Linked DNA regions of Neurospora crassa OR74A. The protein of the gene in region 2 binds, or shares a complex with, the protein of the main gene of each other region. Links are inferred from orthologs where the notes say so. Each region holds a gene or a part of one and is shown on either strand. Other genes may lie near its edges.

Region 1 (4,177 bases), about 1.6 Mb from region 2:
GGCGCTCAGCTCTACCCTTTCGCTTGTTTGCTGCCTCAGCCCTTTGTCGTTCGCGTTCTTCTTTTTCAGTTGTCTTCTCGGTGCGCAGAGTGCGGCCTGCTACGCCGCCCCGCGATCTAGACTTTGCACCATTCCGCGTTGTTGTGCCGGCGTCGTCAGAGTCCTCAGTGGTCTTGTCAAGGCTAGGAGAGGCCGATCGAGAGCTCGTCCTCTGCCTCTTGTTTTCTGACTTTCTTGAAGAGGGTTAGCGGTTATTGATGTCGGGCAGCGTAGGACGTGGACCTACTCTTCGCTATCGCTTCTGCCTCGCTTTGTTCTTCTCGTGGTAGTTTCGGGTTGTTCAGAAGCTGCATCTTCTTTGCTTGCTTCAATCGCCCGTCTCAGGGCTTCAGCTTCGTCGTAGTCAGCGCCTCGGCTGTTCATTGTAGATCTTCGCTTCGACGCGGAGGAAGTGGTCGTACCACGTCCGTTGCGGCCCTCCGGTTTATCTTTGGGCGGTGATCTCGTGCCATCCTTGTTGAGAGAGGCGGATCTAGAAGTGGTTCGAGAGGGGCGCTTAAGGGGTAGGTAGTGCGAATAGCGTTGTCTGTGAATCATGTCGTCAGTCGACTGGAGAGTGATTTGACAATTGTCGTGGATGGAGGAGGATATTGCATGAAAGGTGAGGCAACGTCAAAGGCGTGTGATGGGCTTTGACGCACTCCAGCTGAACTTTTGACGTTCAGCTCCCGACCATGCAGCCACGGGACCAAAGAAATGCAAGATTTACCCGTTGCTCGCTGTGAAAATTTTGTGGAATTCTTTGCGGCACTCTTCGCAGAAATATTCGTCTGGGCTTGACTCTTCGGTCATAATGCCAACGCAGGCGCCATGTTGCCAGACCTTGCAAATGTCGCATTGTACGAAAAATCCGGCCGCATCGTCGGTGACATCGGTCGCGAATATGGGATCGATATCCATGCCGTCCTTCAAGCCATGCTTGGAGTCTTCGTCAAACGGCGGAGGGCCTGGGTAGTCCTCGTAGCCGCAAATGCAACGAACGGCCTCGTCCTCGTCTTGAGCGTCATCGTCGCCGTGTGCCATTTCGACCTGCTCAGACTTGTTATTTGCCCTCTCTCTTTCTTCCTGCTGACCGCGGGTACGACGCCGGGTACCAAACGAGTCGTCCGCTGTAATTGTCTCGTCTGGAGCCTCAGAGGATAGCGATCCCGAGGAGCTTGACTTTTGTGGTGAGACAGCTTTGTTGAAATACCTGGTGCTGCGCTCACCACGACCTGACGTGCTGGACGTGCTGGACGAGATTTGCGATTGTGATTGGGAGGTTCGCGCTCTTGACGACCGCCTCGGATCGGACCCTGCCATTGCTTGCAGCTGGGGCCGCAGTCAAGGCAGGAGCTCGAAGTATGTAGGGTATATAATCGACACGATTGGTGTCGAAGAGAAGAACGCGATCCGCAGGCCCGTTGGGAGGGGGTTCTGCGGTCGGGTATCCGGAGTGCCTGGGGACAATGACGCACCCTAGCACTAAAACAATTTCGTTTTACTTGAAGCTCGACAATTGCGATGTGGATGGTCGGAGAAGTAATGGGGCGTGATGGCGGGAGCAGACCCGAATCACGCGGTCGTCTGTCGATGTGGTCACGGAGAAGCGAGGACTCGACGAGGCCGAGTCTCGACCGCAAATTGAATCTGACACAATCGTCGAGTAAAGATGCAATCGAAGGTGTCGAGGTTATGAGACTCGTGCTAGGTTCGAATCGTAGCTTGAAGCCGGTGCTTGGTGGTAGAGAAGCGTAAATTATCGAGGATGGATCGACCGACGGCGGAGGATCGCGAGGGCTCAGGTCGAAAATCCAGCCAAGTGAGGAGGGTGCTCGATCGGGGGCGTGCTCGAGATGAGGATGTCGCCGGCTTGCTTGTGTAAATGTCCACGAAAGCAAGACTCGTTCGCTGCTAACTTGGGTAAAAGATTGAGCGGGTACGAGGGTGGGAAAAAAAACGAAGAAGAGGGGACGGAGGACGGCGAGACGAGATGTCTATGACGGGATCCGAAGTGCTGGCTACGCCAAATTGGAGATCGGGGAGCGGTGGTCGACGTGGTAGGTGGGTGGTAAACTATTTCTCATGACGGAAATAACAAAGTTCGACAAGTCGGGTTTTCGTGTCTGTGGCCCAGGGTGTACGTGGTGAGGATTTCCAGAAAAGAGGAGAGCGAGGACGGCACTGCCTGGAAGGAGGAAGCGATGGCTGGTCTCTCTTGGTGTGTGTACAATGGTGGAAACCGAGCCCGGGACCTAGTCGAGTTGCCAGCCCCAAAAAAGACGGGACCACCGCACCGCACCACGGCACCACGATGCACCACCACCACCACCACCACCACCACCACCAACCCGACACGGCGCTCTTGCAGTTGCTTGCAGTAAATTTTGGCAGAAAGCTGTCCGCCCGGGCACCCACTCTGGCTGCCGCCCACCCACCCACCAACCCCGGTCTGATCCCGTCCGTCACTCAGGCACCTCCTCACTCCTCCTCACGGTAGCGGCAGTGGCAGCGCCAAAGCGTGCGGGGCCATCTGGAAGCTCGGTCCCCATGTTGACCAATCCGGTGCCGGGAAAAAGATAATGGGCCAGCTCGACCAGGATATCAATGATCTCTGGGATGCGGCGTCGAAAGCCGGCTTGTCGATGCTGTTCAGTTTCCAGAGACGAGTAGATATAGTTTGATGTAAGAAAGTCGTATGCATAGGTATGTAGAGGCCGTAGAGTGGTGAATTACTGGTACCGTCCGTCGGGGAGGGTTCGTGCTATGACATCACGCCTCAATAGGTGAAGCCCGTGTCCAACCTGGACCGACAAGAGAATAAGGGGCATCTTGAAAACCGAAAAGGGTTTGAAGTGAAATGTGGTTCAAACAAACATCGATGGTGGAAGACAACGAAACTCGTTGTTGCACACAAGGGGAAATTATTTGGGGTAATGGGAACCTGAAGGGGAGGCGGGGGTTCGGTTCATTGCTCGCTGCAGGTCGGGTCTGGTTCAGGTTGTTGTCGAGTTGAGCAAAGCTTTCCAAGTGAAATTGCACCTACCGTCGTCGAATGGGTCTCGTTTGCTTCTCAAAGGGAAAATGGCAGTACATGGTGTTGTCAGGGCGGCATCAAATCAGATGCAACTACCTATGAATGGCACCGGCACCGCAGTGTTCTGCCTGTGATGGAAAACGCTTGGCTCTTGCTCGAATACTGTACTAGTACTAGTGTAAGCACAGTGCGTCCGGCATTCAGGAACCGCCGCCCACAACCCGGCCTCCATTCAGGTCGCTTTCAATGTGAGTGTGCACGGCGATGATTATGGTAAGTAGAGACAGAGAGACTTGCCCACCCAGAAAGAAGCTCGGTTGCTGGGGAAGTCAAGCCAAGGTACACTAGCTGGTACCTAGAGGTAGTTAATGGGTCAACATCAGTCGACTCGGTACTTCCCCATGATCTTCCAATTGGATTTGGGAAATCGAAAAACGTACAGGTAGCTCAGTACAGTAGCTAGAGAGGTCACGGTATGGAAATTCAGCATCTCACTTGGGGCTGTTCCTTGGAGTCTCCAGTAGTGTACCCGTGGGAACACCAGTATGCTCGACGGTTCGTGATTGCTGTCGGCCTCTAGGGTATCATTATTGGGTGATCTCTCAGTTTCCGTTGATCTCTCCATGTTGGGGAGAGACCCAATGCCATGCGTGAGGCTATTCACTCGGATGGGAACCGGAAACCGAATGGAGGCTCCCCCGGCCGGGAACTACAAGTGGAAGGCGGGGGCGGAACAGCGGGTGTACTTCTAGGTTCTGGCAGCATGGCAGGCAGCGGCATTGGGTCACCGACCTCTGGCTGCCCTCTCCTCAGAATCACAGCCCGAAACCCGCGCTGTCCAGACGACCAACTGCAGTGAGGTGGTTAAGGACGGGATGCTTACATAATGCAGCCAAGGGTGCGTCGATTAGGTCCCGCCTACCATCCCGCCCGCCCTCACTACAGTGAACACCCGCTTCTCCTAATCACAACCACTGAACTCCATTGCTTTCCACCCCTCAACACCACTGCACCGATACACGACACCCGTCTCACTGACTCGGGCAAAGTGCTGGTTTGAGTTGGCTTCTTTTGTTTTGGCCTTCCTATAGCTCTCCCCCG
Region 2 (3,700 bases):
GGGCCCGCCCCATGATAAATTGCAACAACATTTTGGGTGGGTGTTGTCTTGACAAGTGGTATTGTCGTCATCGTGACTGGCACTGAACGTGAAAAGCACCGTGGCACGATGCCGAGAGTGGCGCCGAAGGGCGGCGGCCGCCGGACAAGCATGACGGGGGATGGAGGTTGACCGGCAAAGAAGAAGAAGAAGAAAACGATGAGGCGAGTAGTCTACGACTCTTCCATGCGGCTAATTGGTACTGTGATCCCAACCTAAAGCCGCCAAACTGGAAAGCAAGAAGAAGAGGAAAAACGTTTGGTTTGGAGCTTGCGTGAGCTAAGGAAGAAGTGAGTGGTGGTGGTTACAAGTAATGTGCCGGCCAAGTATGACCACCGAAATACCAATGTGGTCCGAGCTTTCATACTTACCCGCACACACTCGAAAGGGGTACTACACTACGCAAAACTAGACTGTTGGGACCTTACAGTCAGTATTTTGCAGCACAAATACCGAGATAACTAGCGTTAACGTGAAAGACACAACTATATTTGATTGACAGAATATGATCGAATATTCTCGCTGATAGCGGGTTTGACCCCTCGTCAAGGGACAGCCTCTAGTAATAAGAAGCCTGTACCTACGCGGAGAGTCCCTTTTACTACACTTAGTCCTCTCTAGACCCACCCCTTCCTTTGCTCTTTCCCCCCTTCTCAGTATGCTTCCTTGTCCATGTCTCATTCTGTAATAACGAGTTGGATTCAAACTTCATAACCAACCTAGGTTTGTTCTGTTCTGTTGATACCCACACGGTCCTTCGCCTAGGCTGAACGGAAATAAAACAAAAGCCACGACTAAAGCAAATCGTACCGCTTCCCTCAACTCCCTGATAAATTTCATCACCAAATTATCTCAACCAACATCCAACGCTGCATCCCAGAGCATACTCCTGCTGCCGAAAGGAGATGAAACGCTGAGGCCCGTCACATGAGCATCCGTCACTCACCCTATTCCTTCGTTCTCAAGGACACCCATGACCACAATACTACGGTGGGGCTTGTGGCTATTGTAAGGGCGGCTGCTGCTGCGACTCGACCATACCGATGCCTCCCTCTTTCCACCTCTGAAACTCGTCCTTGGCTGCTTGGACTTCCTCATGGCTCAGGCCCTTCATCCAGGAGTTATTTGTCACAAACTTCTCCTTGAGGCGTTCATCGCGCAGCTCTCTCTGGAACGCCTGCTTCTCCTCGTGGAAAACCTTGTCCTCTTCCGAGTCGAAGGTGGTGGTGTTGTAGATGAACCATTCCGAAGTGAATTTTTCAAACACCATCTTGGACGAATTGAGGCAAATCCTAATCACCAGGCCCTCGTCATATGCAAGTGGCTTGGGTTTATAATCATCTTCGGAGATACCCTCTGTCGCCGCGGCGTGGTTGCGGGAGAGGAATACCCTCTGGAGTTGCTTTTTATCTACTCCTTCCGTGGGCTCTTGACGCATGTAAGAAGAGATATAGTACTGCCATTGCTGGATGCGCTCCATCTCGTCCATGTAGAAGGTGGTGTCTTCCTTTTTCAGCCAGCGCACGGAAGCTTCCTTCTTGCCCGGATACTGATGACAGATTAGTATTTGTTACATTCAACTTTCTCAAAATAGATACTTACCCAGCTGATGACGAACATATCGGCATCTTTGATGCACTTCTCCGCAAATTTACGAGCGCTGATCTCGTTCTGGAAGCTGGTGGTCTCCTGCTGACGACTCTCCAGGTATGCCCTAACGAGCTCCTTGGTCTTCTCGCCCTTGGCGTCTGGGTTGTTGCAGGCAAGACCAATGCGACAAAGTGTCTTGAGCAGATCTTGGATCGTGTAAATTGTCCATCCCTTGCGAAGATAGTAGTGCCGGAGCACGTCTTGATACCGGCTCTCGTCAATCTCGCCGTTGATGAAATCCTCAATCAGCTCGACGGTACGAGGCCAGAATGTCTCCGGGTTCTTGTCGTCGAAGTAGTGCAGGCCTGGGTTGACCATGCCAAGGATCTTTGCGGGCTTAACAGCAGTCTCCCGGCGGATCTCCTCAAGGACGCTGTCTTTGCTGGCCTTGACCTCCTCGAGGCGCTTGTACAGCGTCTGGAAAACAGTGAAGAACACATACATGTTCTGGTTGCAGTAGAAGTTGTACCAGGCACGAACAAAGGGTGCATCCGCCTTCAGTTCACCATCGACATCGACAAGTCCATCAGGCTTACCATCCTTGGTGTTCTCTAAGACGATGGGACCAATCGTGGGCAACCAGCGGTCATTCGAGACCTCCGGGACAGCCCGATCATCTGGCGCATCGGGCATCTCCTCCTCATTAGCAGACCCGACATCCGGTGTCGTCTCCTTGCTTCCTGTTGCTGTGCTATCTTCCTTTTGGCCCCGGCTACGACTACCATTACGGCCCGGATCAAGGACGCCGCGAAGTAGGTCGGATTTTTTACCGCGTCGCGTCCTGCCATTGGTGAGCTCAGCGGGCGCCGAGTCTTCTTCATCCTCTTCTCCAGAATCTTGGTCAATATCAGCAAGTCTTTCTTGCACCTTCTCTTCTGGAAGGTCAAAGAATGCCGGGATGAACGTTTCAAAGAACTCCAATATACGTCTCCTCTCCAGAGCGTTGTGCTGGCCACCCACATTCGCATAAATGACCATGAAACGGAGGAGGTCAAGGAGAAGATCCTGATCTTGGAACCCATACAGGAATTGGTAACGAGGTGTCTTTGTTTTAGTCGTTCGCAGTCGGCGTTGTTCTTCATGCTTGGTCTTGATAACGTCGACCAGATGCTTTGCGGAAAGATTGCGTTTGTCATTCGTCTTCACCTGAATACCCATGTGGTCCAGGCTCTTGAGATGCATCGTTTCGGTTTGGCTCTGCCAGACTTTCTCCCATTCGCGCTATTTATTGGGTTAGCAAACACATAGTAACAGCGAATCATAGGTCAGGGGAATGGTGATGCGTACCTGGGTGAACCTCCACTCTTCATCTTTTTGTTTGAGACGAGCCATCACGATGGGCACAACAGCGAAAGGGTTCTTAAACATTTCGTTGGCGACTTCACAGCCCTTCTCTGGCCCGTAGATCTTCTTCAAGACTCGCTTGTAGATCGAAGTACTCTGCCCACCAAGACCTGCAGGCATCTTGAAGTGTGCTCGCTCCGCGGGGGTAAGCGTAAGCATTTGTTGGGCGATCGGCTCCAGGAGCTGGATGCACTTTTGGTTGGCTTCGATGTAGAAGTCGTAGTCATGTCGCTCCTCTTCGATACGATGGAGTCCCTCTTCGTAACCGTTCTTGCGATGCGCAACGAAGCCCGAATCTTCCGAAGCCCACGTCGGATGTGAGGCCCAACCATCGTTGAGTACCGAATTGCACAGCTCGTCGCGACCGCTACAAGGACGGAGACGTTCCTGTAATCCCATGATAGTTAGCGCGCCAGAAAAGAAATAGTGCTATGTTACGAAAAGGCACTTACCCGTCTAGGGAGAAGGCGATAGCTAGGACCGAAACCGCGGCAGTTGCTCAAAGAAACCTTGCCTGGCGGTGGTTCAGGGCGGTTCTCAACTACCTCTTCCGTGCCGGTGTGCCTTAGCATGTTCCTGAGGGTATTCAGCAATTCGGGGTTGCCACCCATGAAGTGATTTGCCTTGTAGATCAACACGTCCTTCTCGATCAGGTCAAGATTCCACA
Region 3 (4,244 bases), about 4.3 Mb from region 2:
ACAAACAACAAAGAGCCTGGATGTAATGTGGGGGAATCATTGAAAACAACATTTTCCTCGTCACAACACCCCTAAATCCCCAAACGCCAATGCCAATCATGCTCATGGGATAACACAACTGAAATTTGCCGACGTACTCAGGGCCCGATTAGTCCGAGCTATCAGACGTACTGAGTGTTTGTTCGGGGGGTTGCGTCCTATTCTTGAGGCTTATCGGCCTCCTTTTCCTTGTCATCTGTTGTTGCTGCCGGTGCCTTGTCGGATGCCTCCTCGGCAACCTTGCTTGGCTCTTCTGCCACTGGCTTCTCAGTGTTGGCGTCTGGTACCGGCGAGGCGGCCTTGGGAGAGGCTGCTGCTGCTGCTGCTGCCTCGGTAGCAGGCTCCGCAGTGGCGGCGGCGGGACTTGGCCTGCGCTCTGCCTCCGGCTCCGGAGCAGGGGCAGTCTCGATTTCCTCGGTCTTGATCTCCGCCTCAGGTTCTGCAGGCTTCTCATCGGCCTCGCCCATATCCACATCGCCATCTTCGTCAACTTTGGCCGCAGAGCTTACTGCAGGCTGCGCGGCTGTCGTTGCGGGGGCTTCGGCTTCAGGTTCAGCGGCGGCCGGTTGGGCTTCGTCGTTATCGATCATGGTCTCATCGTTGTCGACAGCAGTAGGCTCCGCTGGCTTAGCGGCGGCCGCGGCGGCGGTGGCGGCAATCGAGGGCGGAGCTGGTTCTCCAATATCAAGATCCATGTCCTCCACGGCCTTGGGGTTCTTGAAGTCGAGAATGGACCGGCGCTGCGGTCCGTTCGGCTTGAACACACCATTGGCTTGAGCCATGTCCTCGTCATCACTTTCTTCAAACTCGTCTTGCCTAGCTCTCTCCTTCTCCCATTGACGCTGTGTCCGCCGGACATCCTTGTTCTCGTCCTCATCCATGTCGTCAAGCTCGTCTTCCTGATCGTCTGACATACCGAAGCCCTGACGCGGAACGTCCTGCATCTGGACAGAGGGAACTGGGGCGGTCTTCTTCAGGTTTTCTATCACTGATATCTTGATCTTCTCCAGGTACTCTGGGCTGTTGGCGTTCTCCATATTGGAAGAACGCACATCAAGCTCGTAGTCGGGACCGTAATACTAAGAGTTTGTTAGCAAGGCGGCAAGCCATAATGGAACTAATCCACTTACGTCGTAGTACTCGTTGTAAGGAAGGACTGGGTTCATCTCAACACCAACCAAACGGCCGGTTTCGTAGGCCCAAGTCCTTGCGACGTTGCGCATGGTGTAGCCACCTCCGCCGAGAACCAGAGTGGGTAGTCCAAAGCTCCGCACGTAATTAACGCAGTTGGCATGGCCACGCATGCTCAAGTTAAAGCAGCCAAGACGATCACCGGACAAACTGTCACCACCGCATTGGAGGACAACAGCCTCAGGTTGGAAGTATTGCATGACAGCGCTAATGACGGGCTGGAAGATGGAGCTGTAGGTGGTGTCGTCAATCCCATCGCGGAGGGGGAAGTTGACGGCATAGTTCTTGCCGGAACCGATACCAATGTCGCGCAACTCGCCGGTACCGGGGAAGTACTCGCCGTACTTGTGGAAGGATACGGTCATGACGCGATCCGTCGTGTAAAAGGCTTCTTCGACACCATCGCCGTGGTGCACATCGATGTCAATGTAAAGAACGCGCTTCTTGAAACGCAGGAGCTCTAGGATAGCCAGGACGATATCTGTTCGGTGTAGTAGGTAAGCATGGGTGGCGTCGTACGGGTTCCAGGAAATTGTGAAGGCCACATACCATTGACATAGCAGAAACCGCTAGCCTCGCTCTTCTTGGCGTGATGCAAACCACCGGCCCAGTTGATGGCGATGTCGCACTTGTCCCTATTCAAGCGAGCGGCACCCTCCATACTTCCGCCGGCACTGATGCCGCAGAACTCAAACAGGCCGTCGAAAACGGGACAGTCATCGCCAACATTGTACTTGCCCTGCTCGCGCATGAAGCCGTCCATGTTGTCGGGGGTAACCTTTTGTAAAAACTCAATGTACTCGTCGGTGTGAAACTGTGTCATTTCGGCAGTAACGGCTGGTTTTGCACGCTAACACAGAGAGGGTCAGTTTGTCGTTGACCAAGGCCAGTACCCCCAACACAGCAAACTTACGTAGACCTCGAGAAACTTGTACACGTTGTAGTTCATGACCAGACTGTGGGCAAGACGGATACGATGGGGCTTCATAGGATGGCCGGTCACGTAGGCATAGTTGCCAATGTCGGAGTCGTAGAAGTAGGCGACCCGCTTCTTGTCATTGTGGACGACGGTATACAACGGCTCGTCACGCGCGACTCCGGCGGGATCGGTGAATGTGGAAGGCATGGTGGGCAGATGTTGCCGGGTTGCCCGTTGTGTTGTGTTGCGTTGCGTTGGCGGATACGGAGGACTATTGCGGTACAATCCGGATTGTGGGTTGGATGGTGTGTGTGTGTGTGTTGTGGTGGTGGATATCACGTCCAAGTATGTAGAAGTTATCGCTGACCGGGAGACGCTGGGATGGGAAGGACCCCGTCGTGAAAGGAAATGTTCAGGGTCGCCGGGCTGAATGGGGGAAACACGTGTTGAGGTTTCGTGGTATTGATAGAATGACAAAGTATGATATAGAAATATCCCCGTGATGTGGCAAATCACCTGGGCGGTATCGTCATGGCTTGCCAGCAACGAAAAGAAAGATGGTGTTTAGTTCGAGCTCGGTTCCTGACGCCGGGGTGTCTGTCACTGAGTGGCAGAATTGCTTGTACGAGCCACGGCACAACGCTGAGGTCGGTGCGTGAAGCCGTGGGCGGACAGGCGGGGGAGAAAGCGCAAGCACCAGCAACCCCAACGGGCGAGTGGGGTATAATTGAGCTGTTCTCCATTCTCCAATAACTTTAGTAACCAATCAGAAAACGGATTGTGCACCTGACGTCCTGTCGGCAGGCAACGTCGAACCTTCCAAAAAAGCGCCAATACTTATGAAGTCAACCGCTTTGCCTGCCGATTTGCAAACCAGATAAGATTATGTAATCCACAGCTTCCAGCTCAAGGGAACCTTCCGTCACCGGGCTGGCCTGCAGTGGACTTTGTGGCAGTTGGCGTTGCAGGCTGCCACAGCTTGTCGTCAACGCCGCCGCCAGCCAGCTGCGGCAAGCTCCCCATAGGTGCTGCATGCTCCATGCTCCAACCTGACGCGGTAGGTAGGTAGAGAGGTACTCAACCCACCAACCTAAACAACAAACCGCCCCGTCTCCCGTCTTGTCATCGACGACATCCCACTTCGACTTTACAACGAAACCGCCACCGTTTGCATCGCAACCCTCCATATACTTCTGCGCGACGTCATTACACCCGAGGAACGACGCCGATATTAATTTCCAACACCCCCGTCACACAGCTACGTCAACATAATACACTACTCTCCAACCAACAAACACATTCAAGATGGATCGCATGCGCAGCTTGTTGGGCGGCGGCCTGGGAATGGGCGGTGCCACTGCGCCAGGAGCCGTATGTTTGTTCCCATTCGCAAATTGAACAACAGAACCGCAGGCTTGCTTGGTCTGGCGTGAAGGTGACAAGGGCATGATGCTAATGTGCTGGGTTCTGGTCAGGACAACACCAACCTCATCGACAACTCGGAAACCGTCTACATTTCCTCCCTAGCCCTCCTCAAGATGTTGCGCCACGGTCGCGCTGGTGTGCCCATGGAAGTCATGGGCCTGATGCTGGGCGAGTTTGTCGATGACTTTACCGTTCGCGTCGTCGATGTGTTTGCCATGCCCCAAAGCGGTACTGGTGTCAGTGTAGAGGCTGTCGACCCCGTCTTCCAGATGAACATGATGGACATGCTCAGGCAAACGGGAAGGTGAGAGGATACTCAGCTCAACTTGACCTTTCACCACCCACTAATGTATTTCCCTTCGCAGGCCCGAGGCCGTCGTTGGCTGGTACCACTCGCATCCCGGTTTTGGCTGCTGGCTTTCGTCGGTTGATATCAACACCCAACAAAGTTTCGAACAACTCAACTCCCGTGCGGTCGCCGTGGTTATTGACCCCATTCAGTCCGTCAAGGGCAAGGTTGTGATTGATGCTTTCCGTCTCATCAACCCCCAGTCGCTCATGCTGGGTCAGGAGCCCCGCCAGACGACATCCAACTTGGGACATCTCAACAAGCCTTCCATCCAGGCCCTCATCCACGGCCTGAACAGGCACTACTACTCGATCGGCATCA

Evidence for each region. The genes of interacting proteins can lie anywhere in the genome.
Region 1: NCU02578 (region 2) and NCU02121 share a complex: the UniProt entries of both Saccharomyces cerevisiae proteins name them as parts of the RPD3C(L) complex. The link is inferred for Neurospora crassa OR74A from reciprocal best matches to the Saccharomyces cerevisiae genes SIN3 and CTI6.
Region 3: the proteins of NCU02578 (region 2) and hda-3 are in contact, whole or in part, in a cryo-EM structure (PDB 8HXX), measured with the Saccharomyces cerevisiae proteins. The link is inferred for Neurospora crassa OR74A from reciprocal best matches to the Saccharomyces cerevisiae genes SIN3 and RPD3. Residues at the interface, in NP_014639.1 of Saccharomyces cerevisiae: Cys748, Glu749, Ala750, Phe751, Gly752, Pro753, Ser754, Tyr755, Thr763, Met765, Pro766, Cys767, Ser768, Gly769, Arg770, Asp771, Met773, Cys774, Val777, Leu778, Asn779, Asp780, Trp782, Val783, Gly784, His785, Pro786, Ala789, Phe795, Ile796; in NP_014069.1 of Saccharomyces cerevisiae: Asp26, Ala27, Asp28, Gly30, Asn31, Tyr32, Ala33, Ala36, Gly37, His38, Lys41, His43, Arg46, Arg65, Gln72, Cys75, Gln76, Phe77, His78, Thr79, Asp80, Glu81, Asp92, Asp114, Gly115, Glu118, Lys153, Lys154, Glu156, Val167.

Annotation. Positions count from the first base shown.
Region 1 is NC_026501.1:1,173,707-1,177,883, forward strand, and holds the start of NCU02121 (transcriptional regulator), read right to left. Parts: upstream 2,801-4,177; 5' UTR 1,363-2,800; coding exon 770-1,362; exon of another isoform or gene 598-769; coding exon of another isoform or gene 587-597; coding exon 287-586; intron 234-286; coding exon 1-233. UniProt on the Saccharomyces cerevisiae protein: Component of the RPD3C(L) histone deacetylase complex (HDAC). Responsible for the deacetylation of lysine residues on the N-terminal part of the core histones (H2A, H2B, H3 and H4).
Region 2 is NC_026501.1:2,788,225-2,791,924, forward strand, and holds the end of NCU02578 (paired amphipathic helix protein Sin3a), read right to left. Parts: coding exon 3,486-3,700; intron 3,421-3,485; coding exon 2,977-3,420; intron 2,911-2,976; coding exon 1,642-2,910; intron 1,589-1,641; coding exon 1,043-1,588; 3' UTR 501-1,042; downstream 1-500. Other genes in the region: NCU02577 (hypothetical protein), read right to left, coding at 1-152. UniProt on the Saccharomyces cerevisiae protein: Catalytic component of the RPD3 histone deacetylase complexes RPD3C(L) and RPD3C(S) responsible for the deacetylation of lysine residues on the N-terminal part of the core histones (H2A, H2B, H3 and H4).
Region 3 is NC_026501.1:7,046,517-7,050,760, forward strand, and holds the start of hda-3 (histone deacetylase RPD3), read right to left. Parts: upstream 2,801-4,244; 5' UTR 2,357-2,800; coding exon 2,144-2,356; intron 2,081-2,143; coding exon 1,780-2,080; intron 1,712-1,779; coding exon 1,170-1,711; intron 1,119-1,169; coding exon 198-1,118; 3' UTR 1-197. Other genes in the region: rpn-11 (26S proteasome regulatory subunit RPN11), read left to right, coding at 3,455-3,520, 3,625-3,878, 3,940-4,244. UniProt on the Saccharomyces cerevisiae protein: Catalytic component of the RPD3 histone deacetylase (HDAC) complexes RPD3C(L) and RPD3C(S) responsible for the deacetylation of lysine residues on the N-terminal part of the core histones (H2A, H2B, H3 and H4).